Linked DNA regions of Sus scrofa. The protein of the gene in region 3 interacts with the protein of the main gene of each other region in a pairwise test. Links are inferred from orthologs where the notes say so. Each region holds a gene or a part of one and is shown on either strand. Other genes may lie near its edges.

What was found.
Region 1: the proteins of DTX3 (region 3) and UBE2D1 interact in binary tests that used the Homo sapiens proteins (3 or more experiments, as listed by UniProt). The link is inferred for Sus scrofa from reciprocal best matches to the Homo sapiens genes DTX3 and UBE2D1.
Region 2: the proteins of DTX3 (region 3) and UBE2K interact in binary tests that used the Homo sapiens proteins (3 or more experiments, as listed by UniProt). The link is inferred for Sus scrofa from reciprocal best matches to the Homo sapiens genes DTX3 and UBE2K.
Region 4: the proteins of DTX3 (region 3) and USP2 interact in binary tests that used the Homo sapiens proteins (3 or more experiments, as listed by UniProt). The link is inferred for Sus scrofa from reciprocal best matches to the Homo sapiens genes DTX3 and USP2.
Region 5: the proteins of DTX3 (region 3) and UBE2L6 interact in binary tests that used the Homo sapiens proteins (3 or more experiments, as listed by UniProt). The link is inferred for Sus scrofa from reciprocal best matches to the Homo sapiens genes DTX3 and UBE2L6.

The regions. Positions count from the first base shown.
Region 1 is NC_010456.5:92,301,640-92,307,436, reverse strand, and holds part of UBE2D1 (UB2D1), read left to right. Parts: intron 1-1,319; coding exon 1,320-1,397; intron 1,398-2,567; coding exon 2,568-2,673; intron 2,674-5,797.
Region 2 is NC_010450.4:30,885,400-30,891,879, forward strand, and holds the start of UBE2K (ubiquitin-conjugating enzyme E2 K), read left to right. Parts: upstream 1-2,594; coding exon 2,595-2,657; intron 2,658-6,480. UniProt on the Homo sapiens protein: Accepts ubiquitin from the E1 complex and catalyzes its covalent attachment to other proteins. In vitro, in the presence or in the absence of BRCA1-BARD1 E3 ubiquitin-protein ligase complex, catalyzes the synthesis of 'Lys-48'-linked polyubiquitin chains.
Region 3 is NC_010447.5:22,864,859-22,871,326, forward strand, and holds the start of DTX3 (probable E3 ubiquitin-protein ligase DTX3), read left to right. Parts: upstream 1-2,832; 5' UTR 2,833-3,012; intron 3,013-3,446; exon of another isoform or gene 3,447-3,507; 5' UTR 3,508-5,099; intron 5,100-5,193; 5' UTR 5,194-5,243; coding exon 5,244-5,272; intron 5,273-5,621; coding exon of another isoform or gene 5,622-5,640; coding exon 5,641-6,370; intron 6,371-6,468. Other genes in the region: PIP4K2C (phosphatidylinositol 5-phosphate 4-kinase type-2 gamma), read left to right, coding at 16-119, 296-376. UniProt on the Homo sapiens protein: Regulator of Notch signaling, a signaling pathway involved in cell-cell communications that regulates a broad spectrum of cell-fate determinations.
Region 4 is NC_010451.4:46,586,654-46,593,019, reverse strand, and holds the start of USP2 (ubiquitin carboxyl-terminal hydrolase 2), read left to right. Parts: upstream 1-2,665; 5' UTR 2,666-2,795; exon of another isoform or gene 2,796-2,799; intron 2,800-4,806; exon of another isoform or gene 4,807-4,926; intron 4,927-6,366. UniProt on the Homo sapiens protein: Hydrolase that deubiquitinates polyubiquitinated target proteins such as MDM2, MDM4 and CCND1. Isoform 1 and isoform 4 possess both ubiquitin-specific peptidase and isopeptidase activities.
Region 5 is NC_010444.4:13,362,593-13,367,318, forward strand, and holds part of UBE2L6 (ubiquitin/ISG15-conjugating enzyme E2 L6), read left to right. Parts: intron 1-3,549; coding exon 3,550-3,736; intron 3,737-4,726. UniProt on the Homo sapiens protein: Catalyzes the covalent attachment of ubiquitin or ISG15 to other proteins. Functions in the E6/E6-AP-induced ubiquitination of p53/TP53. Promotes ubiquitination and subsequent proteasomal degradation of FLT3.

The DNA.
Region 1 (5,797 bases), on a different chromosome or scaffold from region 3:
TAGTACATTTAATTAAATATAAAGGAATTTAAATAGAATTTAAGGTATTTTTGTTATTTCCCTCTTTTTCCCTTTTTTTTATTTTTTCATTTTTATTTTTATTTATTTTATTTTTTTATTTTTTTGTCTTTTTAGGGGCCGCACCCACAGCATATGGCAGTTCCCAGGCTAGGGGTCAAATCAGAGATGTAGCTGGTGGCCTACACCACAGCCACAGCAGCGTGGGATCTGAGTTGCGTCTGCTCCCTACACCACAGCTCACAGCAACACCGGACCCTTAACCCACTGATCAGGGCCCAGGATTGAACCGCATCCTCATGGATACTAGTCAGGTTCGTTAACCACTGAGCCGAAATGGGAACTCCTTCCCTTTTTTTTTAAAAAAAACTTTTTTTTCTTGCTTGTAACAAATATTTCCTGATTGCTATAAAGGCATGGCCAAATTTAAATTCCTTTTGTAAAACTGATTCCTAATTTTATAATTCTATGAAATTGAATTTATCTAATTTTGTTTGGGGCTTATTTGCATTTTCCATGTTATTTTATAAACTAAGTGAAGATTTGAGGTCTAAATTATATCACAGTGTCACTTAGCCTTTTCTTTTATAATTTGGTTGTTTCAGTTCATCTCCATTCGTACCCCTTAAAGGACCATCAGGACTTTAGTTTTGTAATTAAGGAGGTTAAATACTAGCCCCAGCCATTTTTTCTATATTGATTACTGCTGCCAAAAATTATTCTTTTCTCACAGCAGGCTTGTGTCTATACTGATCTTTAAAAATTTATATTCATAAACAGATTTGTTTGGGTAAGTCACACCACCATGTGTCCTATTTTTGTTTTGTTTTGAACTACAACGTCAGCATAATTGTTGGAAAATTCTCCTTCAGTCCTGCAAAGAAAAACCTGTTTTCAAGTTTAAATGATTTGAACTTATGACAAAGTGGCTTTTTTTTTTTTTTTTTTTGTCTTTTCTCTATTTCTTTGGGCCGCTTCCACAGCATATGGAGGTTCCCAGGCTAAGGATCTAATTGGAGCTGTAGCTGCCAGCCTATGCCAGAGCCACAGCAACGCGGGATCTGAGCCGCATCTGCAACCTACACCACAGCTCAGGGCAACACCGGATCGTTGACCCACTGAGCAAGAGCAGGGACTGAACCCGCAACCTCATGGTTCCTAGTCGGATTCATTAACCACTGCGCCATGACGGGAACTCCTGGCATTTTTTTTTTTTAATGATATATTTTGGGGAAATCATTTTAGGTTACTACTAATAAATATAGTAATCAAACACTGATGCAATTATTTTGTAATTTCAGCCTGATAGCGCATATCAAGGTGGAGTCTTCTTTCTCACTGTACATTTCCCGACAGACTATCCTTTTAAACCACCAAAGGTATCTTTATTTTTATGGTTCATGTGACAACTCTGTCAGGGGTTTTACTCTATCCAATATTTTCATGATGTCAAAAGACCATGGGTAGGCTGGCATGTTCAATCTTTTCTATAAAACCACTGAATCTAAATTATGCTTTCTTACTCAAATATTGTATTATGTCTGTACACAGGAGGCAGTGTCTCTTAGGCAGTAAATTAGCTTCCCTACCTGTCTTTCTCTCCTCATTAGATATATGTAGTACAGGGGGGTTTTATGGTTAAGAATTAGACTTTCCATTCAAGGGGTTATCTATCCTAGGTTGGCCCTTCCTTCTCAGTTTTTAAGCACTCAGTAAACATTTGCTGAACACCTACCATGTTCTGTTGCATTGGGGAATATAAAAACTAAATGTGACACAGTCCCTTTAGTGTGGTAGGTGGGATTAAAAGCACGTTCTTATTAAAGTTAGATCAAAAGAGGAAACAAATGATGGGAGTATATCAGTGCGGGAGGAAATCATTAACAAATTCTGTCACTCAAGAAATAATTATTTTAGATTTTTAAAAACCCCTGAATAGGGAGTTCCTCTCTGGCTCCTCAGGTTGAGGACCTCCTGTTTTTGCTGCTGCAGCTCAGGTTGCTACTGTAGTGTGGGTTTGATCCGTGAATCAGGAGCTTCTGTGTGCTGTAGGCATGACCAAAGAAAACATTGTATATGAAGTGATATAACAGCTCTTGTGGAAGATTAGAATTCTTGGTGAATTTCTTAGGACAGGTTATAAGCCGAGGCCCCTCAACTTTCTTCTGGAATAGGGTCAGCATCCTATTTTTAGATCCAGGTGTCCCTTTGTTAATCAAATTAAGAAAAGTCTTGCTTTGAGGGATGGTTAATTACCTCAGGTGCTGCCGAACCAGTCATACTAACCATTGTAGACTTATTTATCACACTTTCCAAAATAATTCTTAATTCCTTGGGGTGGGGAGAGCAGGAGACTGATTATTTGCTTTCACATTATCAATAGCTAAAGCTTTGCGAGTATAAAGTAGATGCTCATCCAGTTTGTGTTGAATGCATTTCTCCAGTAAGATCACATAAAATTGAGGACATTTTACCCTGGGGCAAATTAATTGTTTGGTTTCATAGTTCATGGGTTGTCACAGTTTTGTTTTGTTATGTTTTATGCCTAGATTGCTTTCACAACAAAAATTTACCATCCAAACATAAACAGTAATGGAAGTATTTGTCTCGATATCCTGAGGTCACAGTGGTCACCGGCTCTGACTGTATCAAAAGGTAATTTCCTTTATCAGATTTATAGTTGTTGGTAACAGTGAGACAGGAAAAATACAGCAGAGGTATCTCAGAGACAAAAGTTTAAAAAAACCAATTTACTGTGTTTTCTTCTGCTTTGATACTGCTTTGTTTTCCTATCTTTTATATTACTCTTGCTTGAGGAGTTGATGGGCAAATCTAAATGATGAAATGTCAGAAATTTAAATGTTAGAGCTAGGAATTTGGGGATAAGCCAGTTGACCTTTTACTCCTTTAGTTTGGGCTTTATCTTTAAAAAGAGAGAGACAGAGACACGCAAACACACACATAGCAATACAAATGAGATTTGGGGGGAGTTCCCATCATGGCGCAGCAGAAACAAGTCCAACTAGTTTTCGCGTTCGATCCCTGGCTTCACGAAGTGGGTTAAGGATCCGGAGTTGCTGTGAGCTGTGGTGTAGGTCACAGACGTGGCTCGGATCTGGCCTTGTGGTGGCTGCGGCATAGGCTGACAGCAACAGCTCTGATTGGACCCCTAGCCTGGGAACCTCCATGTGCCATGGGTACGGCCCTAAAAAGACAAAAATAATAATAATAATAAGATTTTGGGACCAGTTGTCCTACCCATTAGATGGAATTATTTATTGACGTAATGAGTAAAGCTTTACATCTAATTCACTTCATCTAAGAAGAAATGTCAGACTAGGCAGATAAAATAAATGCTTTTAAAAGAGAGACATATTTACCACTTTAGAATAATGTAGCACATGTGGCATGTTAGTCTAAACTTCAAATAATCTATAGCATCCTTGTAAGGACTGATACATAATCCATGGAGATTCTCAACTTTCGCAAATGTATATAGCACTGTTCTTTAATAAATTATGAGATGTATGTATAGGGCATCTGAAGCTGTTTTGTTTCATTAGCCAATGCTGTTTGCTTTGCCAGCCTCTTAATTTTGTCATGGTTCTCCAACAGAAGAGAACTTGAATTACTATTTTGAGTTAGAAGCATCTGCCCCTAAAAGCAGGAGTTCCCGTCATGGCGCAGTGGTTAACGAATCCGACTAGGAACCATGAGGTTGCGGGTTCGGTCCCTGCCCTTGCTCAGTGGGTTAATGATCCGGCATTGCCGTGAGCTGTGGTGTAGATTGCAGATGCAGTTCGGATCCTGTGTTGCTGTGGCTCTGGCGTAGGCCAGTGGCTACAGCTCCGATTCGACCCCTAGCCTGGGAACCTCCATATGCCGCGGGAGCGGCCCAAGAAATAGCAACAACAACAACAACAAAAGGACAAAAAAAAAAAAAAAAAAGACCAAAAAAAATAAAAATAAAAAAAAAATAAATAAAAGCAACTTGGTAGTTTGCTTTTTATAAAATTTAAGAAAACTGTTTCTCTTGAAGGATTCAGGAGAGGAATCCATGGTCATTTAATTTTTTTTTTTTCTGCTTTTTAGGGCTGCACCTGAGGCATATGAAGGTTCTCAGACTAGGGATCTAATCGGAGCTATAGCTGCCAGCCACAGCCACAGCCACAGCAATGCCTGATCCAAGCCACGTCTGCAACCTACACCACAGCTCACGGCAACACCAGATCCTTAACCCACTGAGCAAGGCCAGGGATCAAACCTGTTTTCCCTTGTATCCCAGTCAGATTTGTTAACTGCTGAACCACGACGGGAATGCCTAGAAAATTTTTTTAATAAATGTTGTCTGAATATGTAATGAGGTCTTTTGTGATTTTTCTTGGTGTGCCCACAGCATGTGGAAGTTCCCAGGCCAGGGATTGAACCCACACCACAACAGTGACAACACCAGATCCTTAACCCTCTGAGCCACCAGGGAACTCCTATAACTTGTTTTTTAAATGCTAAAGGAGTTCCCTGGGGCTCAGTGGGTTAAGGAGCCAGTATTGTCACTGCTGTGGCGCACGTTCAGTCCCTGGCCTGGGAGCTTCCTCATGCCTTAGGTACACCCAAAAAAAAAAAAAATTCATGTGGATTCTAGTGTCCTTTTAAAAATCTTTCACATTGGAGTTCCCGTTGTGGCTCAGTGGTTAACGAATCCAACTAGGAACCATGAGGTTGTGGATTCAATCCCTGCCCTTGCTCAGTGGGTTAAGGATCCGGTGTTGCCTTGAGCTGTGGTGTAGGTTGCGGATGCAGCTCGGATCCCGCGTTGCTGTGGCTCTGGCGTAGGCCGGTGGCTACAGCTCTGATTAGACCCCTAGCCTGGGAACCTCCATGTGTTGCGGGAAGCAGCCCTAGAAAAGGCAAAAAGACAAAAAAAAATTAAAAATTAAAATAAAATTAAAATCTTTCACATAATAGGCGTTCCCGTCATGGAGCAGCAGAAATGGATTTGACTAGGAACCATGAGGTTGCTGGTTCGATCCCTGGCCTCGCTCAGTTGGTTAAGTATCCAGCGTTGCCCTGAGCTTTGGTGTAGGTCCAAAGACTTGGCTCGGGTCCCATGCTGCTGTGGCTGTGGTGTAGGCCAGCAGCTGTAGCTCTGAGATCCCTGGGCTGGGAACCTCCATATGCCTCAGGTGCAGCCCTGAAAAGCAAAAAAAAAAAAAAAAAAAGAGTAAAAATCTTTCACGTAATAAAACTGTTACACACTAGATAAAGGAAAGATACTGTGTCATAGGGTTATTCAAATTAATATACTCTTTCCTGCAGTAGTGTCACAAAATGGAATTTATTTGGCGTATGCAGCTAAACACTTACCTATAAAGAGCAAACTACTAGATGTTGAACACTTACCTTCTGACGTTGGTAGCTCTTGATAGAAAATAATTAGTTATTGTTGGCTTCTGGAAACTGTTCTTTAAGAACAACTTCAAAGAGCCTGAATTTCCTCATGTGTCAAATGGGAATTTTTTTTTTTTTTTTCCCTTTTTAGGGCTGCACCCGTGGCATATGGAGGTTCCCAGGCTAGGGGTCTAATCAGAGTTGTAGCCTCTGGCCTACGCCACAGCCACAGCAGTGCTGGATCCAAGCCACGTCTTCCACCTACACCACAGCTCAGGGCAACACCGGATCCTTAACCCACTGAGCGAGGCCAGGGATTGAACCAGCAACCTCATGGTTCCTAGCTGGACTCGTTTCTGCTGCGCCACGACAGGAACTCCTCAAATGGGAA
Region 2 (6,480 bases), on a different chromosome or scaffold from region 3:
ACAATGCTCTTTTTCCCTTAAAATGTATTTTGAGGATTGTCTCCTATCAGTCAGTATGAGGTTGCCTCATAAAATGTAAAAATGCACTGAAAGTGGAATTTCAGGGCCAGTGACTACATGCATTTAAAAATCATCAGGAGTTCCCGTCGTGGCGCAGTGGTTAACGAATCCGACTAGGAACCATGAGGTTGCGGGTTCGGTCCCTGCCCTTGCTCAGTGGGTTAACAAGCCAGCGTTGCCGTGAGCTGTGGTGTAGGTCGCAGACGCAGCTCGGATCCCGTGTTGCTGTGGCTCTGGCGTGGGCCGGTGGCTACAGCTCCGATTCAACCCCTAGCCTGGGAACCTCCATATGCCCCGGAGTGGCTCAAAGAAATAGCAAAAAAGACCAAAATAAATAAATAAATAAATAAAAATTATCAAACATCTCTTCCCCAAAGAAGTTAGCATACCCATCTAACCAGTCCACTTGTGATTTGAGTGTTGTAAATTTCTTTAAAGTTCCAAGATTAACATTGGGGACTGAATGAAGGTGATAAGCATAAGGTATTCAAAAATTTTTCACACTTCAAAATAATTATTTTTAATGTGCCGGCATAAATACACATAGCATTGCACGATTTATGCATTCATTATACCAGTAATTCATTGTGCCACGACCCACATGTATAGTTGGTTCCTCTTAGAACCACTAGGGGGCTCTGCTGGAAGGGTTTTACAGCTTATGTTAGTCCCTTCAGGGAAATTTTCCCAGATGTTTTAGAATAATGAACTCTTAAAACTTGAGAGAGATCATCTTATCCAGCTTCCTTATTCTGCAAAATAGGAAACCAAGGTTGGCCAAGAGAGCTGAAATGGAGGAGAGCTGGAATTAAAAATCCCTTCTTGGTTCCCGTGGCAGTAGTTCAATAAGTTCATTTTTGCCAAGTGCCTCCGTGAGTGGTTCACTCCAAGTGCTTACTTTCTTTTTCAGTGCCACAATTTCAGTAATTTTTGCTGAGACGGTGATTTCGTGATATTCTTCTAATAGGATACTTTACTGATTGGTTAAAGTATCCTATTAGAAACATAGTGAAAGAAGTGACTTTAATATAACTTCTAAATAAACATAATTACTTATTACAAAATGTTTTCTATTCAAAGCACCTCTCAGCATCAAAACCATATTACCTAGGAGTTCCTTTGTGCTGCAGTGGGTTAAGGGTCTGGCCTTGTCACTGCAGCGGCTTGGGTCACAGTTATGTCGAGGGTTCGATCTCTGGTCCAGGAACTTACAAATGCCGCAGGCTCGGCCAAAAGAAAAAAACACTCAAAACCCCCCCAAATCCACAACCATATTACTTATTGGAAACTTTAGCAACCGCTTTCAAATTTACTTTCCATTTAAAACATTTTAGTCTTATCGTTACTCATTTATTCATTCAATATTTATTAAGGGCCTTAATAGGCACCAGGCACAGTTGTAGATCCTAGGTTTAAGTAAGTAAAGCTGCCCTTCTCGCCCAAGAAACATCTACTACTCCATTTTTCACTTTAATATATAAACTATTTTCACATGTTCAGTGGTTCCCACTGTGTGGCTCCAGAAGCAGCGGCAGGAGCAGCTGCATCTGGGAACTTGTTACAAATGCAAATTATTAGGCCCACCCTATACTCTAGGAATGGGGCCCAGCAATCCGTTTTCTTTTTATTTTTTAACAAGTTATTCAGGGATCCTAATGTACATTCGAGTTCCAAAACTATGGTTTTAGTTCCAGGGCTTGGTATTAATTACCTAAGCAGGTCAAAGATCAACACCTGGCTTCTAAATTCCATGGAGTACTGGTCTCAAATAAAATTGATGAGACCCATACTTAACTTTATAATTTGTTGTACCTGTTAAGATCCTGGAATGATCGTAGTAATAGCAGCACCGTAAGAGCTTCATAACAAAAATGAACCTCAGTGCATTTGCCGGGCCTACACCAAGAAAAAATAGGCCAGACTGAATTCCAGGACAGTGTTTTCAGACACTAAACACAGGCAGGCACACTAAGCCTGTGGGTTCTGGGTCTGGCTGAGTCAGGGCGGCGCTCCAAACCGAGTGGAGCCGCGTGAACCCGTCAGGCTGGACTCGAACCTTCGGTTACAGGCCACGGTCTGGAAGCCTGGACCATACACCTGGTTCGAAGAGGGGCAGAGACGCCTGAGAGGACCGAGGAGGCCGGGGCAGCGCTGACCAGCGCGGAAGCCGCACCCTCCAGGCCTCAGACGCCGGCAGGGCGGAGCCACGCGGCCGCAGCTCGGGCAGAGACGCGCGGCGCGGGGCGGCGCGGCGCGGGTTCGCAGCTGAGGCGTATGGGGCTACAACGGGAGCGGCTGCGCCGCCCGGTCAGGTCAGCGTCGTGCGCAGGCGCGGACCTGGCGCCATTTTGGTGGCCGGGCGCGGAGGTGATTCCACACTGAGGAGAGCGCGGCGGCCGGAGTGGCAGTGGCAGCGTTCGTGTGCTCTGGTGTGAATCGCCGAGGGAGGAGGCGGTGGAGGAAGAGGTGGCGGCGGTGGCGGTGGTCGTAGCGGTGGCGGAGGAGGCGGGTACGAATCAGCTGCGGGCGGAGACATGGCCAACATCGCGGTGCAGCGAATCAAGCGGGAGTTCAAGGAGGTGCTGAAGAGCGAGGAGGTCAGAAATGAACTCCCGAACGTCCCCCACCTCAGCCCATGGCGGGAGGGTCCTTCCACTGGCGTCCCCAATATCCCTAGTAACGCCCGAGTGGCCCTCTTTGCGGCCGCCCTTCTGCCTGTGGGGAAGCAGCAGTCTCCCCCTCCTTCCGCCGCCTTCCCCTCCCCTTCCAGGGCCCTGGGATGGACGGTCTCGCGGGCGGGTGATCTGGAGAGGAATCAGATTGGGGGGGGCAGATGGAGAAGGGGGCGCTTAGACGCGGGGTGTGAGCTCTTGAAAGAGCCCCTAGATAGTGGCAACAGCTGGAAGTGTGGTTGTAGGGTGGGGAGTGAGCAGGCCGAGCCTGAGAAAACCCGGGAAGTAGGTTGGGGGAAGGGGAAAGGTGGTAACTGGATCCCGAGAGCTGCGCTGCTCAAAGGCCCTCACTTTTAAGGGTATTCTGGGTTGTAGCCGATCTGGCCGCCGCTGTCCTTTCCTTAGGGAAGGAGCGATGAGAGTTCCTAGGTATTGATGAAAGAAGGCCGTTCAGAGTTACTCCCTTTTAGTTGGGTGTTGGAAGAGAGAGCAAGACATAATGGGGTACTGTCTATATTGTTTAAGTGGGGGATAAGGGCATTGCCACTTGAGATAGGAAATTAATTCCATGTTAGAGAATTATCTCATTTCCACTTACCCCCAAATCCTAGGCCTCTTTTTTGTAGGCACCTAAAGCTTTTTGACTAGGTAAAGGCAGGTTGTTTGGTGTGTTAAAGACATTTAAATATTTATAGCTGGGATTAGGACATATAATGGAGTGTATGAGTAGCTTATTTTAAAATGTTTACAAGTTACAGATCAGAGTCTGTTTTAAGACATTGCCTCTGTGACACTGCTGTGTTGTGCCATGAAACTTCATTATGATGTCCCTCATAGTTAACTTGATTCTTACTATTGAAAAACAGTGCTATTAAAAAAAACATGAGGTTTCAGCAGATTAATACATTGTTATATCTCCTTATTAAACATGACATTTCAGCAGATTAATAAATACATTGTTATATCTCCTTATCCCAACATCTATCTGAAAGGATTAAAAAGTTTTTTTGTCTCAAGCTCCTCTTGAGTCCTGTAGAACACTCTAGTGTTGGCCACATTTATTAATATGTTTTAAATGTTTTAGTAATTTAGTAATTTGACTCAATTATGAATCAGTGTAATTTTTCATACCCAAATCAACGAGAATGCTAGGTTGTTTTTCCTTGTTGGATTCAACAAAGAAAGATTGAGCATATTGAATGGTTATTTTCAAAATATCACACACCATTATTGAAAGTATCATTACTATATGTGTTTTTCTCTTATATCAATACTTTGACGAGCTCAGTGATTTGTGAAATTTAGCATTCTAAGTATGTGATGAATTCTGGATATAAGTCTGATAGCACTTGAACTATATTTGTGCCACCGAGTCTTTCCAATTAGACTTGCAGAAAATTCTTTAAAATTACTAAAAAATGCCAAACACCAGCAGATTTATTGAATGTAATAGTTATGTGAGTAATAATTGGTTTTACCGAGCATGTGTATGAACTCTGACCTCTGTATTTGTTCAGGTGCCAAAACTCTGAATGGAAGGATGACTTTGTATTTTTGTGGTACATTGTAGAAATAGAGTCATAAATGCTTGTACTGACAATACAATGAAACAATGATTCTAAATTCTTGTTTAATAAGAAAATATATTCCAGGATAGTTGACATATATATTCCTAATAGAAGATTGCGGGTAATATTGCTAGTAGCCTAAAACATTTCTCTAATATGGTTGTACAAGCCTGAAATATAAGATTTTAACGCTTTATTTTCTGTTACTTAAAAGTGGTAAGTACTGTTCTCGTAATTCATATGATCTGATTGCATATTGTGAGGTGACTTTTCACAATATTCTTAGTACTTAAATTGAAGCTTAAAAGAAATCTTGTATTGCTTTAGTAATGCATATTGTTAAAATTACATGTAAGGGATGATGAAATCTTGCTGTCAAGTAAGTGTTTCAGAGGAAGAAAGTAGAAAATACAAACATTTTATTTTTTTAACAAGAGTGCCTTTATAAATCTGAAAGGAAACATCTTCCAGAAAGTAAGTTGCAAAGAACATTTAGAAAAGGGTCAGGTAATTTAATTTTGGAATATAACCAATAAATAGTTTTATTTTCACCAATATTTTATTTCATTGATATTTTAATAAGCCCAGTTCTATAATTGGATTATATTATTTTCAACTCATTGAAGAACTTATAATACAGTCCATGTATTTCTTTTTTAATGTATGTAAAGGCAATATTTGAATGGCTTGTCAGATAGTCAAGTATTTCCTCATGTCACCTATGTAAATCTTCATTTTACTAAAGTTTATTTCATATGGTTGTGCTTACTAGGAATGGTTTAAGGACTCCTCTCCAACCCCGCGCCTTTTTAAGTGCCTTTGTGAAAAGATAACTGACATTTGCTGAATTCTGGCTCTAAGAAGTTGTAAGTGGCCATTCTTGGAGTGTGTTGTTAAAATATAGCCTCCCAGATCAGTGTGAAAAGCACAGTGCAGAATAGTGGGAGGAGGCCACCATTTCTGGGGAGATACGTGTATTTGTTTGTATAGGTGAAAGGATTAATGAGAAATTGGTAGTGTTGATTGCTTCTGGGTGGGGGACTTGGGTGTCCCGGGCAACTGGCATCAGAAGATCCCTCTTAGGAGTTCCTCTGTGGCTCAGCAGGTTAAGGATCCAGCATTGTCACTGCAGTGGCTGGATTGCTGCTGTGGCATGGGTTCAGTCCCTGGCCCAGGAACTTCTGCATGCCACAGGTGTGGCCAAAAAAAAAAAAAAAAAAGATCCTGGAGTTCCTTTTGTGGCTCATCAGAACCGAATCTGACGAGCATCCCTGAAGATGCAGGTTCGATCCTTGGCCTCGCTCAGTGGGTTAAGGATCTGGCATTGCCATCAGCTGTGGTGTAGGATCCCAGGCTCTGATCTGGTGTTGCTGTGGCTGTGATGTAGGCCGGTAACTGTAGCTCTCATTTGACCCCTAGCCTGGGAACTTCCATATGCTTCAGGTATGGGACTAAAACGACCGAAAAAACTGGAGCCTGATTTGTATTACTGATTAAAGGATTTAAACACAACCTAACTTGTTAGTTTAAGCATTAAAATAAATGTTACGTGTAATTAAAATTTTGCTTGCATTTCAATATGCAAAATACTTTTAAGAGTTCCTGTTGTGGCACAGTGGGTTAAAGGATCTAGCATTGCTGCAGCTGTGGCATAGGTTGCAGTTGCAGCTCCAATTCAGTTCCTGGCTTGGGAACTTCCTATGCCACGGGTGCGGCCATTAAAACAAACCCCCAAATATTTTTAAATTCAAAGCTCAGTGAAATAGGCGTTCCCTTCGTGGCTCAGCGGAAGCGAATCTGACTGACTAGTATCCGTAAGGATACATCTTCAGTCCCTGGCTTCTCTCAGTGGGTTAAGGATCCAGCATTGCTGTGAGCTCTGGTATAGGTCACAGACATGGCTCAGATCTTGTGTTGCCATGGCCGTGACATAGGCCAGTGACTACAGTTCCAATTCCAGTTCGACCCCTAGCCTGGGAACCTCCATATGCCGTGGGTGCAGCTCTAAAAAGACCAAAAAAAAAAAAAGGCTCAGTGAAGTAAAACACCCTTAAATCAGTGTACATACTTTTTTGCTTGTTCTTGTGTATGGTACCTGCAGGTTTTTTTCATATTGTAGCTTCGCTTTGCTACATTTCTAGGATCCTCAAGGAGTATTTAAATCAACGGCATTAACAAAT
Region 3 (6,468 bases):
GGTCTCTTCCCCCAGGAGCCCCCCAGAAGGAGGTGTACTTCATGGGCCTCATCGACATCCTGACGCAGTATGATGCCAAGAAGAAGGCAGCTCACGCAGCCAAAACCGTTAAGCATGGGGTAAGGGTTCCCTACAGCCTTTTCTTTCCTTTCTTGACTATTCAAGAGCCTCTCGTGCCAGAGTGGTGGGGTGGCAGAAGGATGAAGGGTTGGGGGTGGAAATGGTCTGGAGTGGTGTGGAGGGCGGGGAATGGGGAAGGGGGCGCTGAGACCACATTCCCTACCTCCTCTCACAGGCAGGGGCAGAGATCTCTACTGTCCATCCTGAGCAGTATGCTAAGCGATTCCTGGATTTTATTACCAACATCTTTGCCTAAGAGACTGCCAGACTCCATGGTGACTGCTGCTGTGTGTTCCAGGTGGTGGGGTTCTGAGAGGCTTGGGGCAATTGTGCATACTCTGGCCCCCACTTCTTCTCTTCCTCCTTGGCTAACTTCAGGCTACAGGCTCCTTCCACCCAAATAATTCCATCTTGTTGAGTAGGCTCTTCCTGGCCCTCAGAGTTACATTGTCCTCTCTCTCCTTCTTTCCCTCTCCCTCTCCCTCCAACACGCCTGCTTGCTTCATTAGCATGTTACTGTCGACTCTCTCCCAAGTGCCTTGATCTTTGTAAAATGTCCTGTTGTTTCCACAACATAGGAGGAGCTGGGGGAAGGGGGTTGTTTGCCATCTTCAGGACCCGACTGGACAGATGGATCTGGCTCAAGCGACTCCTCTGGATGCACTTTGCTCTGTGGGATGAACGCAGAGTGTCTGAATTTTGCTGATAACTTTATAGAACTCATTGTAGCATGTTTGCTCCCTGGTAGACCCTGGGATGGAAGCATCTCAAGATACTACAGATATGGGTGCAGGCATGCACACATGTGATGGGATATGGCCAGTCTTACACAGGTGGGGTGGAAAATGGTCAGCAGGCTGGTACCTCATGGAGGTGGGACCGATGAGGACTCTTGTGATTATGCAGGGAGTTGGAGAAGGACTCTGTCAAGGGTTGACTGCTCTCCAGTCTCTTCCCTCACCTCACCCGCCCCCCCCAAAGATGGCCACAGTGTTGAATCCTGGGTAAAAGTGTTTAACTGTTGCTGTTCTTCAGGACCTCACACCCCTCCTGGGGCTGGAACCCTTCATTGAGGGTATGGCCAATTCTAGAGGCTGGGAGGATGGGCCAGGGGTGACCCATTGCTAAATTTCCTTTTTTCATGCCTAGCCAATTCCTGAGGTTTTAGTCCCAGCAGAAGGGAGTATCTTTACCTGGGTCAACCCTGGTCATTTCAAGAGAATGGATGTCTCATGTGTGGAAACCTCCTCTATTCCCTGGAAGTGTGCCCCTAGGATACTTCCCCCACCCTTTCTCAAGTCCTTTTCCCAGTTGGATTTGTTATTCTGTTTTTTCCTGTCCTGTCTTATACTGCTACTGTGTCTCCCAGGGGACAGATGGCCTTCTTTGTCATCTTCACTCCACCCCCAGAGAGGAGTCAGACCCATAACTCAATCACCCAGCCCCCTCCAAAGATAGCTGAGTTGATGTGTGATATTCTCAGAATGTAGCAGACCCTGATGAGTTGAGAGATTGTCCTCCCTTCCCCCCAGTTCCTTTGGGGCTAAGGCGGCCATTCTTTTTGCATCCTGCATTCGCCCTGAGGCGTCTGCATTTCTCTGAGACATAAAGATGGGCACCAGCAAGTGGCCTTGGGGATGCAAAGACTCTTTGTTCTATCTGGCTGGACTGATCTGTCTCACAAGAAGTCATGAGGTCATAAAGGAGAATTTCTCCTGCCCCTCCATCCTCTCCAAAGGAAGTACAAGAGGAGTCCCCAGTTAAGGATTGGAGCCCCTATAATATCTTCCTGTCAGGAGCCTGATGGATCTTTTTCATTTCAACCATCTACCCTTCCCCTGTTGAATGCAATAAAACTCCATGACACCAGCAACTGTTGTTCTTTAGAAATGGGTTTCCTGACCATGTGGCTGATGTGTCATAAGCATTATGGTCTTTTTCATTTGTTGCTTCTGTTTTTCATCTCTTTTTGTTTTATTAATTAATAAAAAAAAGATCTTATGTATTTACTCCCATTGCTGTCACTATATAGAAAATAAATTATTGAATCCAAATTCCTTCACAGAAATGTCTCTTCCCCCCCACCCTTTCCCTTTTTTGGAAGCCTGTACTTAGGGTGCAGGGACCAGATGAAGAATACTGGTCTCCAAGGCATTGGGCCCCTAAGAATGTAGGTTTCAAGATAGGTGCTGTGAACTTGAAAGGTGGAAGGGGATGTGCGTGGGACTGGAAAACATTCCCCAGTTTTGTAGGAGTTTAGCTATAGGTGTGCCCAGGACAGCTGAGATGATGTGACCCTCCCTCCCCAGGGTGAGATCACACTCCCATCTCTCTAAAGGTGAGTGAGCCTATCAGCACCACTGACACACACATGAGCTAAAAGAGAAGGAATTTGGTGTTCCCTCAGGCTTCCTGGGAAAGATGTTCTCCATCTGGAGGGCAGGAAGAGTACAGTAGGGTCCTGGGAAAGTAAAGAAGAAAGCGACCAACCTTCCAGCCTGGACGGGGAGTAAAGAAAAGAGAGTGGATGAAGAGGTCATTGACAGTCTGGGAGATCCATCCAGTACTGCTTGGCCCAGGAGGTCTTTGGCTGGTGGAAAAACCTGGCTTGATGTGGCCCCAGGGAATTGCGTTGGACTGGGGGCGGAGATTGCTCTGATGTGGGAAGCAGAAGAGAGGAGGTTTTTTTTTTCCTTGAGAGCTTTTAACTCTATTTCACCCGTAGACTTGACACCACCATCACTCTAAGGTATTCTGTAAAAAACATTCGCTTCTCATTCTGCACGGGTTTCAGTACGCGTGATAGCGGAAAGAGAAAAATCAGGGGCACTCACAGATACCCACCTGGGGGCAAGTTTTGCGGAGTCACAGAAGGTAACAATCTAGAAAAAGGTGAGAGATGAGGGAGGGGATTGAAACGATTTAGTCACGGGTTTATTTTTTAGAACCAGTGCTTTTTATTATGACTCCTCTCTTCCATATTCCTCAAAGGCCCCCTAGAAGAAAAGATCACAGAAAAATTGCTCCCCTTCCCCATCTACCTAAAGAGACGCTCCTCAACCACCCACCCCCCACCAGCTCCCAGGAGCTGCCACGCAGCTGGCTGGGAAAGAATAGGGAGGGGGCCCCTCCCGGGAGCGGGGAGCGAGAAGGGTGGCGTCTCTAAGGGATTTAACCTCCTACCCTCGGTTCCGCGACACCACCCTCTCCCTCCAAAGACTTGTACGGAGCCTCCATTTTTGTTTTGGCGCGGAAGGGCAGCGGCTTGTGGATAGATGGGGTCAAAGGAAACGTGATTGTCACCTGTGAAGGGGAAGGGGGTGCCATCCTCTCTCCTTCCCTTTCCTCAGTCTGCACCCCTGCAAACTCCCCCCCCCACCTTCTCAGGGTCTCCCCCCCCTTGTTGCTAAGGCCCAGACCGTCATCCCAGCAACAGCCTCAGTCATGTGACCGGCAATGGCGGCGCTGACGAGAGGTAGGTGAGCCCGGCGGCCCCCACACCCACCGCGCGCCCCCCGGACCCTACTCGCACCCCCCGCGCGCCCTCCCGATCCCCCTGCGCCCCCTCCTCCGCCTCCTTCCCCCGCGCGCGGCGCCGGGGGGCCCCCTCCCTCTAGGCCCGGCCGATCTTCTTTCTGTCATCCTCCAGCCTTGGCCTCCATTTGGGGGTTCAGGGGCCCACGGTCGGGCAGACATGCACCCACCCCCAGTGGTGGGGCTTCGGGGGCTCTTAAGAGAGGGGGATTGGGGGAGCTGGTTCCGGGTTGGGTCTTGCAGAGGTTGTGGGGGGAGGGGTGGAGATGCCTCAGTTGATGCCCCCAAGGGACCCTGGCCCTTCCTGGCTGCCCCTGTCGCTGCTCTCTGTCTCAGGGGAGGGACTGGCCCCGTGTCCGGCCTGGGTTGCCCCAGAGGAATCAGAGACCCAGCCTAAACTGAGGCCCCGCCTCCCTTTTCTGTGCCAGCAGGACTCCTAGCAAAGGACACCTAGGTCCCGGCTTCCCTCTGATGGGGAGGGGGTGTTCCACCTGGAGAGACAGTATGAACCGAGGCTCTGGGGTTCCAGTTGCACTTTCTGAATCTTGAGGTGCATCTGGCCTTCAGGGGACTATGATAAAGGCACAAACAGAGAGCTGCTCCCCTTTGGATCAGTCAGAGAATTGAGGTCACACTAACAGCTCTTCTTTCTACTTGGGCTGCATCTGGAGGTGTTGTAGGGACAGCTCTGTAGCTGAACGCGGCCAGACTCAGGGGAAACATCAGGCTCCTCCAGCCCGTGCCCTGCATGAGCCCCACCCCTTCCTGAATGCAGCCTAGGTTGCCGCAGGTTTGGACTTCGGGTGCTGGGTTTAAACGGCGACAGTGAGAACTTTGTAATTGCAGGGCCTGCTGCCACTGTGTTCAAATTCCAAACAGACTTCAGCAGAAGGGATGGGGTAGGCTCTCAAGGAAGGCTCCCTGGCAATAGGGACTGAATTATTTGGGCATGTGGAGCAGGGTGTGGAGCTGGGGAGAAAAGGAAATACCCTTGTAAATGGGGTCTGAGGGAGATGGCAAAAAAAGGCCTGTGTGTGGACTTTTCCCTTCCTGACTTCTCTTATCTGTGCCCCTAGGCTTTCTTAAGAGACCCACAGCTGGGGAAGAAAAGAGGAAAGTTAGCACGTGGAAGTTCCTTCTTTAGCGACTTGGGGAGAGGCTGGGGATAGAATTCTGCAGGGGCAGAGGAGAGGAAATGAAAGAAGAGTTTTGGTTTTGTTTCTGGGCAGACTGGGGAAAAGCTAACATTTGTCATCCTAACCCTTTACCTCACCCCACCCCCTCCCAGTCCCGATCAGCTGACTGTGGAAACGGATTTCTGCTGCTATCATCGTCCATGGGCTTTCCAGGTATCTGACTTCCATGAGAACCTCAGCTTTCAGCTTTAAATTGGTTTCCTCCATGCCGTGTTCCAAGAAATCCTGTTCCCAGTAACGTACACCTAGGTCCTGTCTCTGTTACGTGGGCTGCTGGGTTGGGGCACGTGGGAATGGAGGCAGGGGTGTCTCACTTTCCCTCCTTTCCCTTTCCACCTACCAGGTCACACAACCTACAAGTAGGGAGCAGGGACAGAGAGCGAGCGAGCCTGCATGCCAATTCTAAGCTCTTCAGGATCAAAGTGAGCAAAAAGGAGGGTCAAAAAGTCTCCCTTCCTTTTACGGAACCCAGTTTTCACCTGGAGGCGGGAGGGGCGGGTTGTTTCTGAGATCTGGGGAGGAGGGGAGGAGAACCAAGACTGATGCTTGGCATAGATGGTAATAGTAAAATTATAGATGCTTTCTTGCTCTTCAGTGGGTGCTGGAGTTTAAAAGATAAGAGGAAACAGAAAATGAACTTGGGGGAGGAGGGGAGTTGGACTCTGAGACAGCGGAGGGGTGGAAAGGAACGTGAAGTAGGAGTAGGAAATAGGCCCCGATATTTATCAAATGGGAACCCCCCACCCTGAGTCCCTTTCACCCTGGGGGCAGTGTCGTTCGTCCTGTCCAGAATGGCAGCCTGTGGAGGCACCTGCAAGAACAAAGTGACTGTCTCCAAGCCTGTGTGGGACTTCCTGAGCAAGGAGACCCCAGCCCGGCTGGCCCGGCTTCGGGAGGAGCACCGTGTGTCCATTCTCATAGACGGCGAGACCTCTGACATCTATGTGCTCCAGCTTTCCCCTCAGGGCCCTCCCCCAGCCCCTCCCAATGGGCTCTACCTGGCCCGCAAGGCTCTCAAGGGGCTGCTGAAGGAGGCAGAGAAAGAGCTGAAGAAAGCTCAGAGGCAGGGGGAGCTTATGGGCTGCCTGGCTTTGGGGGGTGGAGGGGAGCACCCTGAGCTGCACCGCCCAGGCCCACCCCCTCTCCGGGCAGCCCCACTCCTGCCCCCGGGGGCCCGGGGGCTCCCCCCGCCTCCTCCTCCCCTGCCCCCTCCTCTTCCTCCTCGCCTTCGGGAGGAGCCGGAAGAGCAGGAGAGCACCTGCCCCATCTGTTTGGGGGAGATCCAGAATGCCAAGACATTGGAGAAGTGCCGGCACTCATTCTGCGAGGGCTGCATCACCCGGGCCCTGCAGGTGAAAAAGGCCTGCCCCATGTGTGGCCGCTTCTATGGGCAGCTGGTGGGCAACCAGCCCCAGAATGGGCGGATGCTGGTCTCTAAGGACGCCACACTCCTGCTACCCAGCTATGAGAAGTACGGCACCATCGTCATCCAGTACGTCTTCCCGCCCGGTGTCCAGGGGGTAAGAAGACTGTGGCCTGCCCTTGCCCTTTGGTTTTCCCCCACGCTTGTTTTCTTCCTGAGGAAAACTAGATAAGGGTGACTGTGTTTGTTAGATGT
Region 4 (6,366 bases), on a different chromosome or scaffold from region 3:
TAGTAACCAGCATCCCATGCCAGCAGAAGGTACCTGGCATGTGAACCCCTCACTGAATCCATCTGCATCCAAAAGAACTGGATTTACCACCCTCTTGTTGAAACTGCTGGGAAATCCTAAAAAGGTAAAATTACCCAGGAGTGATAAATAGAAATATAATACATGTACTCCTGCTAACTTCAGATCTGTAAGATGTTATTGATATTTTCTTTACTGCACATGCTAAATGTTCGTGTTGATTTTAGTGAAGATAAAATATTGATCAGGCATTTAACAGGTCACTCAGTCTTCCTAATCTTATTTTTTATCAAAGGTCTTCAACCGTAAAACCTCCTACTTTTCCAGCAACTTGATCCTCAGGGTTGGGAGGAAAATTGCCAAACAATAAGAAGTATAAGAATGACACTCTGAACTAAGACAGAAGCAATGGCGACAGAGAGAAGGGACCCTGAGGGGAATAAAAGAAAGAGAACCAAAGCGGCTCTGACTAGCATCCAGTGGGTTAAGGATCCGGTGTTGCTGTGAGCTGTGGTGTAGGTCGCAGATGCAGCAGCTCAAATCCCACATTGCTGTGGCTGTGGTGTAGGCTGGCAGCTACAGCTCCAATTCAACCCCTAGCCTGGGAACCTCCATATGACGAGGGTGCGGCCCTAAAAAGACAAAAAAAAAAAGTTTCAGGCCTCACAGTTGGTAATCAGAGAAATCAGAAGTTATCCCAGGAACTCTACAATCTGCACGTATAACAACCACTGTGCTTTAAGCTACACAAAAGCACCAGAGGAAAAGGAGATGGAGGGTGGGGGGAAGAAAAGCATTACCACAAAATCTGAAGGAGGAGAGGACTGCAAGGAGGAAATGGGTGCAGGTATGGAGTTTGTAAGAGGTCAAGTAATTGACTAGGACTAGAAAGGCCCATTGGACTGAACAGACGGCAGATGGTGCTGACTGGGTGAGGGAGGTTTCCTGATGTCTGGGGGGTAGGAGACTTCCCACAGGGAGGTGGGGAGACACAGGACGTACAACTCCTCCAAGAAAACTATCAAGAGGAGAAAGCAAAAACCTAAGTTCAAGATTTTCATTTGTTTAAAGGGAAGAACTGGGAGACTTATACATCAAAGGGAAAGTTGGTAGAAAAGGTAAGATTTTTGTTTTGTTTTTTTTTCTTTTTTTGTCTTTGTAGACACTTCAGTTCAATAGAAGTCTTAGCTCCTCCTCAAGGGATATACATAACAATCTGATGTAAATCTTTTTAAGTTCTGCTAGAACTAAGCCCCCCCCCCATGGAGGATGGTAACTATGTAACTACCAGCTGAGACCCTGGTCTGAAACTAAGGAATGATGTTGACCTTTGCTGACCCTCATTGACTTCAGTCAACTAAAGCTTGGATTCTGGCAACCTTTGCCTCAATTCTATTGTGAATTCTCTTTGGCTCAAGGCCCTTCATGAATATGCATGCACCCTTAGCTTTAAACTTCCCCAATTTTGCTGTTCCAGGATACACTGCTTGGGGAAAGACACCGCCGTGCACACGCGCGCGCGCGCACACACACACACACACACACACACCCTGCCCCGGTGTTCTTCTTACTTGCTACAAGTAATAAATTTTACCTTCTTCCAATCTTTGGCTTGGTTGTGTCTTTTGGCTTGAAGCCCACCAAGAGGTGAACCCAGTTTTCAGGTAACACTAAGGAACAATTAAAGAGTTGAAATCCAGAAGGGATTTGTCCTGGACAAGAAGCGGGACACTTCTTTCACTGCTCTTGGAGCAGAGGGAACACTGGATTTGGATATATTTGTAGGAAGAACTTTAAGTGTTTTCCTCCTGATTGCTTCTAGTTTCTCTGGGAAAGAGAAGACAAGAAGGGACTTCAGAGTGATGATGGGCAGAAATACCAGCCTTGCATAAGAACAAGAGAAGCAGCTAAGGGCACGAAAGGATTGATGGTCCAGGTGAAATTGAAAACCTGGACTTGCCCCGGCACCAATCTACATGGCTATGCGGTTTTCTTCACCACCGCAGTGTAAGTAGAGAAAGGTTATACACAAAGAAAAGGAGCGGCAAAAATTCAAATTTCCTTTCGGCTTTTTCTGAAAAGACAAAAGAGAATCCTTCCATTGACTCAGTGCCTCCGTTCACCCAGTCAAGGGGTCATCACTAATCACTGGTCTCCTGTTACTGAGTGGAGAGTCTTAAAGAGTAGAGAAAAAAGAGAAGAGGCAAAAAAACAGGTCCGCTCCTGGTCGGGTGGGAAGGAGAGGAACATTTAGCCTTCCCTAAATACTAAAAGCTGCTATATATGCCCTGGGACTCAACTTCTGACCCTTCCCCCCAAGACGCTTCCTCTTTCCCAGTACCTTACACCTCTCCCGTCGTGCCACATTCTTGCCGCATTGGGACCCTTCTCGTTGTGCTCCACCCCGCCTCCAAACTCACCTTTCCTTCACGTGGCTCTCTGTATATATCGGTCGCCTGGGAGACCCTGGCCGGGCGGAGTCTAATGACGCCACAATAGCAAAAAGCCAATAGCCGTGATGCGTCTCAGTGACGCGAAACGCGGGGTGTGACTTTGACGGCCCCGGCGCAATGAGGCAGCTGCCCGCTGGGTGGCGCCGATTTCCCGGGGAGGTCCTCTCTGGGCCCCCGGCGGAGGTGGGGGAGAGGCGGGCTGGAGCGGAGACCAGGGAGCCCTCTGCGTCAGCTGCTGCTCACTGCGCCGCTCCAGTACCAGTCAGGACTCACCCGCAGCTCCATGCTTGTGCCCGGCTCGACTCGTCCATCCTCGGAGAAGAGGCAGGTACCTGCCACCTGTCGGATACTGGGGAGGGGTGATGCGGAGGGCAGTGTTGTTTGAGGCTCAGAAAGTGAGGTGCCAACGACAGGCTGGGCAGAATGGGCACTAGAAATGTAGGGCGAGTTCCAGCTGCGCTGAAGATCTCCAGCTGTGGGTACCAGTTGTAGGGGGGAGGGGGGGCACCAGCTGACAGCCCAGGGTGCCAGGAAGAGCCATCTGTGCGCTAATCAGTGTGTTCTACGGAAACGCTGCTTGGGCAGGTCCAGGTCTCTGAGCCCTGGGTGGGATGTGGCTGAGAGTGACGCCTGGACACTGACAATCCTTTCCCCACGTGTGCGAGCAGCTCATTTACTCCCTCTGTCAAAGCTCCTGGGGGCTGTCTCTGGTCGGTTTGCCAAAGGGGGTGGGGTGGGGGGAGGGTAGCATTTAAGTGGAAGGGGAGATTTTCCACCAATCCCAAACCAGAAAGAGGCATCTTTGAAATCTTCACCAATCCCAAACCAGAAGCAGGCACGCGGTGCTCTAAGGCTAGTAACTTATATTTAACAGCCAAAGGGAGCCCTGGCCAATCCATTCTAGTTGTCCTCTAAGGAGTGAGCATCTACCTCCTGACCTGGCTGCTCTTCGAATGGGGCCGAGTTGGAGATCCTGCTGCTGCTCGCCTCCCCAGGCACAGGCATGAGAAGGTCCCCCAATGAGAACCCAAGGAAAAGGAGAGCTGGTTGAGCTGGGGTTGGATCAGCCACCCCTTCTCTGATGCTGTAGATAATGTCAAGCCGGGGTCGGAATGAGGACTGGAATGAGGGCCGGGGACAAGGGCGTCCTCTGAAGTGCATCATCAGGACCGGAGCTGAGTCAGTAGCCTCTGCTGAGACAGGGTGGAGGCCCCATCTTGGGTACTCCCAGTCCTCAGGGAGAGCCATCGAGAAACAGGCCAGACAGACTGGGAGCAGACCAGAGCACCAAGAGCCGAGAGGTTAAGAATCCTGCTCCTTCCTCCTGTGACCCTGCCCAGCCAGCCCCACTCCTTGGGCTCCGGGATCCTGAGCACTCCTACAGGTAGAGTGGAACTGCCCCAGAGCAGCTGGGCTTGCTCCCGGGAGCCCCGGGGAAGCTGCACTTGCTGTATTTTTCTAGGCAAAGGAGGAAGGAGCCCAAGAGGGCCCGGCCTTTTGCCGGTGGGTGGACTGGACATCTGGGAATGGGGCAAGCCTCGTTTGCCTTGCCACTTATGGGACACAGACCTGCTCAGAAAACCATGGCATTAGAACAGCACTCCCGCGGGGTAGCCTGGAGGCCCTTTTCTCCCTAGCCAGGTTCCCCCGAGGGTGCTACTACAAAAACTACCTCTAATTATAAGTGGAAGTATTCAATATAGTAATAATTACCATTTATTGAGCTCTTACTAGGTGCCAGGAAATTTACAAATATTATTTAATCCTCACACCTGTGAGGTATAACATTATTATTATTATTATTCCCATTTTACAGACTAAATAAGGTTCAGAGGGCTTAAGGGACTTGCCCACCGACTTAGAGCCAATAAAAGGGAAAGAAAGAATACAAGCCCAGGCTTAGAAGTCCATTATAAATGAGAATGGCCTGGGAACCTGAGGAGGTCTCACCTGCCTTTGTATCCGTGTGCCCTTGAGCACGCTGCTGTCTGCCTCTAGGGCTCTTCCATCTCAAGAGTAAAGCAGGCAGACAAGCACTGAGGCTTCTTCCTCTCCTCCAGTTTTGTGACTGGCACCTCCTTCTCCATATTTTTGCCTCCATTCCACCCCCATCCCTCTACCATCTTTCCAGTTCTATTTCCCCTTGAATCCCCCTTCTGTCCCATTTCAAAATCCCTCCCTTCAAACAGTCTTGTAGGATCTTGCCTGGCACGGGCCCACCTCAAGGGAGGGCCTGCCACTGCCCCTTTAATTCTGCCCAGGCTTGGAATGCCAGTGAGTGGAGCTAGCCATCTCCGTGAGGTCAGATAAGATACTATATATATCGGAGTCAGTAACCTGAGCTCCGGATTACCCGGCCCCAAGTCAGACTCCTGCCTCTGGGCTCGCCACTGCACTCCCTGCCCTGCTGGGGAAGGAGAAGCCCCCAGATCCCATCCCGTGTCCCTGGACACAGGTCAGTAGCTGTCCCTTTGCTATCCAAACTTCACAGGGCTGTTGTCCAGAGGGCCCTGGACTGTCTGTTTGGGGGAGCCCTGTCTGTTTGGGGGAGCATGTGAGAGGCTGCCCCACCTGGCCTGGTAGGTGCTATGAGCAAGACCAAAGGCTCAGAGACCAGGAAGAGGAGAGGAAGCCCTAGAGGAGAGAGGGAGCCTGGGGCTCTCCTGTGGGGTGGGGGCACCCAGAGGGAGGTGGTTGGAAAAGAAGACCTGAGGACTCCAGTATTGCCTGGGGGCCTATATCTTTGCCTTTTCTTGGAAGTGTAGCAATGCCCACCCCCTCCCAACCCCAAATCAAGAAGCGCCCTCTAGAGACGCCACCCTCAGCCCACCCAGCTCTTCTCCAGGCAGGATTCTGGCTCTAATCTCTGGTCTCTTTATCTAACCTCTTTGCCCCCTCCGATCCCTTGGGCAACTACTGGGATTGAGAGAGACTGAGAGGGGCCCCAATCCCCTTGGATGACCCCCTTCCAAGGCATCTGCAACTGGTGGGTCACTGGGTGCCAGCCCCTGAGAGATAGAACTGTGAGTGACAGGCCAGAGGGAAGGAGACAGGCTGGGACTCCTAGGGGCCTGAGGAGTAAACAGAACTCCTGGACGGTGAGAGCAAAATATCCACCACCCCAGCCCACCCCAGCCCTCACTCCGTGTATCCTCCACTTCTGCCAGGACAGCCCTCGTCCCAGGAGTTGCCACTTGTCGAGGCAGTGTCCCAGCAGCCAGGAGTGTGTGCGGCTTGGAAAGTGTCGAGGAAGGGAGACAGGGCCCCTCTCTCAGCCCACTTTACCCTTCAAGGTCAGCCATCAGCAGGGCCTCATTCCGATGTTATTAGCAAGCGGCTTTGGGAAGCTCTGAGGTCACCCCTGTGGAGGTTCCCAAGCACCTGTCGGGACTGGCTGGGATTCCCCACTCACCTGTCCCAGACATCTGGGCAGGAGGGAAGGGACTGACCCTGTTGAGGCATACCTCTGAAATCCGACTAGGGGCTTTCTAGTCAGGCAGTGGCAAAGCCACAGAAGCCGGCCTGCCTTCACCCCAGAAAGGAGAACGGATTGGGGCTCAGAGAGGGGCCTTGAAGGCTGCTGGGATGTGGGACATCACCCATTCTCTACCCTGGGGGCCAGGAGTGCCTGGGATTCCTGGGGAGCAAGTCCCTCTCCTGGCTGGGCAGGTTAGGGAGCCCTTCACGTGAGCAACAGGAAATGACAGTGGCTGATGTAAGGGTGCTGGTGGCCCCAGCAGGGATAGGGTTCATTTTAACCCCTGACTCACCTTGCCTGGGTACCTTTGGGAGAGGACCAAGTTGCCACAAATGTAGAAGGCCAAGGGGGAATGTCCATAACCAGGCCTTGGGCCGGGGCCCTACTGGGGCCAGATGCTGGTGCCAGGGGACACGC
Region 5 (4,726 bases), on a different chromosome or scaffold from region 3:
GTGGCACAGAGTAGGTGCCCAGGAAAATCTTCAGGTTGCTAGAAGTCTAGTGTGTCTTCTGCTGGCACCTGGCAATCCTTGGTCACACCAGCTCTGATTTCTTTCTTTCTTTTTTTTATACAGAAATGGTATTTATTTTATTTATTTATTTTTGCTTTTTAGGGCTGCACCCACAGCATGTGGAAGTTCCCAGGCTAGGGGTCAAATCGGAGCTACAGCTGCTGGTCTGCACCACAGCCACAGCAACTCGGGGTCTGAGCCGTGTCTGCAACCTACACTATAGCTCACAGCAACACCAGATCCTTAACTCACTGAGGGAAGCCAGGGATCAAACCTGCATCTTCATGGATACTAGTTGGATTCATTTCCGCTGAGCCACAATGGGAGCCCCTCTTTTTTTTTTTTTTTTTTAACCTCAGTAAAATAGACATAACAGTATTACCACCTAAACTATTTTTATGTTTTTGGTTCAGTGACACTAAGTACATGCACATTGTTGTGCAACCATCAGCACCATCCATCTCCAGAACCAGAACCCTGTGTCCATTAAACACTAACTCTCCATTCCTCCCTCCCTCCAGCACTAGGTAACTAATTTTCTGTTTTATGTCAATGAATTTGACTATTCTAGGTACCTTAAATAAATGGAATCATACAATATTTGGGTTTTTGTTTTTTTTTTTGTTTGTTTGTTTTTCTGTCTTTTCTAGGGCCGCACTGGTGCGGCATATGGAGGTTCCCAGGCTAGGGGTCTAATCGGAGCTGTAGCTGCCGGCCTACACCAGAGCCACAGCAACGCGGGATCCTAGCCGTGTCTGCGGCCTACACCACAGTTCACGGCAATGCCGGATCCTTAACCCACTGAGTAAGGCCAGGGATCAAACCTGCAACCTCACGGTTACTAATCAGATTTGTTAACTACTGAGCCATGACATGAACTCCTGTTCTTTTTTTTTTTTTTTTGTCTAGCTTTCTTCACGTAGCATAAGGTCTTCAGAATTTATTTGTGCTGCAGCATTTATCAGAATGTCCTTGCTTTTTTTTTTTTTTTTTTTTTTTTTTTTAAGGGTTGCACCCATGGCATATGGAGATTCCCAGGCAAGGGGCTGAATTGGAGCTATAGGTGCCAGCCTACTCCACAGCAATGCCAGATCCAAGCTGCGTCTGTGACTTACACACCAGCTCATGGCAATGCTGGATCCTTAACCCACTGGGCAAGGTCAGGGATCGAACCCGCAACCTCATGGTTCCTAGTTGGATTTGTTAACCACTGCGCCACGACGGGAACTCCTGTCCTACCTTTTTAAGGTGGAGTAATACTCCATTGCATGGATATGCCACATGCGATTAATATATTCATCTGTTGATGGATGTTTGGGTTGTTTCAGTCTTATGCTGCTGTGACCCACCCAGCTATGAACCTGGGTGTACAAATACCCGTTCGAGTCTCTGCTTTGAGTTTTTCTGAATAGATACTACGAAGTAGAAGTGCTTGATCATATGGTAATTCTGTTTAATTTTTTGAGGAACCGCCATATCGTTTTCCACAGTGGCTGCAGAATTTCTTTCCTAAGCCCCTGACTTCTTTTGATTTCCTTATTTTCTCCTTTTCCAAGCACCCAGCAATGACATTCTCCTGTACTTGCTAAGAGCTCCCTAAGAGAAAGTGTCTATCCGTGTTCCCATTGTAGCTCAGTGGGTTAAGAGCTTGACTAGTACCCTTGGGGACGCAGGTTCGATCCCTGGCCTCCCTCAGTGGGTTAAGTATCCAGGTTTGCCACGAGCTGCACATAGGGCTTGGATCTGGCATTGCTCTGGCTGTGGTGCAGGCCAGCAGCTGCAGCTCTGATTGGACCCCTGGCCCAGGAACTTCCATATGCCACGGGTGCAGGCATTAAAAAAAGGAAAAATGTCCATCCTTCTCTTCCATAATTCTCAGATGTTAAAGCTGAGTTGACTGTTTGCAGCAACATGAATGGACTTAAAGGCATTATGCTAAGTGAAATAAGTCAGACAGAGAAAGATAAATATTGTGTGATCTTACTTATATGAGAAACCTAAAAACAAAACTCATAGGAAAAGAGATCAGACCTGTGGTTGCCAGAGGTGGAGGGTGGGGGAAGGGAAAATTGGATGAAGGCAGACAAAAGGTACAAACTTGCAGTTGTAGATAATGACTTGGGATGTATTGTATAACATGACTACAGCTAACACCACAGTGTGATAGGCAGGAAAATTGTTGAGAATAAATCCTAAGTGCTCTCATCACAAGGAGAAAAAATTTTTTCTTTTTTCTTTTTCTTTTTTTTTTTATTATTATCTATATGAGAAGGAGGATGTCAGCTGAACCTACTGTGGTCGTCATTTCACAGTATATTTAGTTCTCATTGTGGTGCAGCGGAAACAAATCTGACTAGTATCCATGAGGATGCAGGTTCGATCCCTGGCCTTGCTCAGTGAGTCTGGGATCCGGTGTTGCCATGAGCTGTGTTGTAGGTTGCAGACGCAGCCTGGATCTTGCATTTCTGTGGCTGTGGCATAGGCCAGCAGCTGTAGCTCCAATTCAGCCCCTAGCCTGGGAACCTCCATATGCTGTGAGTGTGGCCCTAAGAAGCACAATGTATTTAAATCAAACCATCATGCTGTACACCTTATTATTATTGTTATTTTGGCTTTTTAGGGCCACACCTGAGGCATATGGAAGTTCCCAGGCTAGGGGTCGAATTGGAGCTACTGCTGCCAACTTACAACACAGCCACAGCAACACAGGATCTGTGCCGAGTCTGAGACCTACACCACAGCTCACAGCAATGTTGGATCCTTTAACCACTGGATCAAACCTGCATCCTCGTGGATACCAGTCAGCTTCATTTCCACTGAGCCACAACGGGAACTTAAACTTAGTGATATATGGCAGTTATATTTCAATAAATCTGGAAAAGTGTAGATATAAATTTATAAGTGATATATATATAAATGATATATAATAAAAATTAGTATAATTATCAATATAATAAAAAGAAGCTGAGATGGTCTTTAGGGCTCATCTAACCAAACTTGACTATTTTTTTTTTTTTTTTTTTTTTTTTTTTTTTTTTTTTTTTTGTTGTTGTTTTTTTGCTCATATGAGTTCAGTAGGTCAATCGAGCTGTAACGCTACGCAGACACAGCAACGCGGATCGACCGCGTCTGAACTACCATAGCACGGCACGCAGATCGTTAACCATGCCAACAAAAGATCGGAAAAACTGGACGGGACCTATCAGAGGACTGATGAGAGGCAGCTGGTTGTTGGTTGCACCGCAAAAGCCTGGGTCTAGCTCTTGGGACTGCCAGGCCCCGTGTCCTTTTGGGACTCCACTCTTTCATGAATCCACAGCTCAGTTGCCAGGTGAATACAGGTGCCATGGGTGTCCCTGTTTATGGGTCTTCCTCGGAGTGGAGCAGAGGATGCCTGGGACCCTAGGGTGGGGGGCAGGGAGAGGGGGAACCCAGACCAAGGGCCTAGGAGGAAAATGAGCTTTTCAGAGTGGCCCTTCTCTTGCCCAGGAGAAACCGCCCTACAACCTCAGGGCCTTCAACCTTCGCATCAGCTTCCCGGAGGAGTACCCATTCAAGCCCCCGACGGTGACGTTTACAACTAGGATCTACCACCCCAACGTGGACAGCGAAGGCCAGGTGTGTCTGCCCATCATCAGCAACGAGAACTGGAAGCCCTGCACCAAGACCTGCCAAGGTGGGCTGGGCCCTGCCAGAGGAAGGGACCCATGCTGGATGGGGTCAGAGGACCGCTTTTGAGTTAGAATAGCCCAGAAGGGAGGAGATAAAAATTGTGAGTCTAGGCGTTCCCATCGTGGCTCAGTGGTTAACGAACCCAACTAGTATCCAGGAGGACTCAGGTTTGATCTCTGGCCTTGCTCAGTGGGTTAAGGATCCGGTGTGGCTGTGGCTGTGGCGTAGACTGGCAGCTGTAGCTCTGATCAGATCCCTAGCCTGGGAACCTCTATATGTTGTAGGCACGGCTGTAAAAAGACAAAAAAAAAAAAAAAAAATTTGTGCATCTCAGCTGAGCCTGTTGTCAGAAAGCAGGGATGCATTCTGAGATCCTGAGCTGGCTGACCTGCTCCTGACTCTGTTCTCATACCTGGGCAGGTGCGCAGAGCAGTGTTGCTGAGGGAAGGAGCTGGGCTGTAGCAGGTAGGGCTTGGGATAAGTAAGGCCACCCAGGGACCTTGGTGTAGTCTCTGTTATTTCCAGGGTTCAGTGCCCTACATGACAGCTGAGGGGATTGGCCTAATAATGCTAATACACATGACTTAATTAAACATTTTTGGCACTGTGCTGAGAGCTTTGCATGCTTTTTTTTTTTTTTTTTTTTTTGCTGCATTTGCAGCATATGGAAGTTCCTAGGCCAAGGACTAAACCCGAGCCACGGCAGCAGCCAAAACTGCTGCAGTGAAAACACCAGATTCTTAACCTACTGAACCAGAAGAGAACCCCACAAATGTCATTTTTTAAAAATTCACTTTCAGTGGCGTTCACTGGTGGCTCCGTGGGTTAAGGATCTGGCATTGTCACTGCTGTGGCTCCGGTTGCTGCTGTGGGGCAGGTTCAGTCCCGGGCCTAGGAACTTCCCCGTACCTGGGGCATGGCCAAAAAAAAATTCACTTTTTTAAAGATTGAAATATAATGTATTTACAGTGGTGTGTTAGTTTTATAGTAGTTT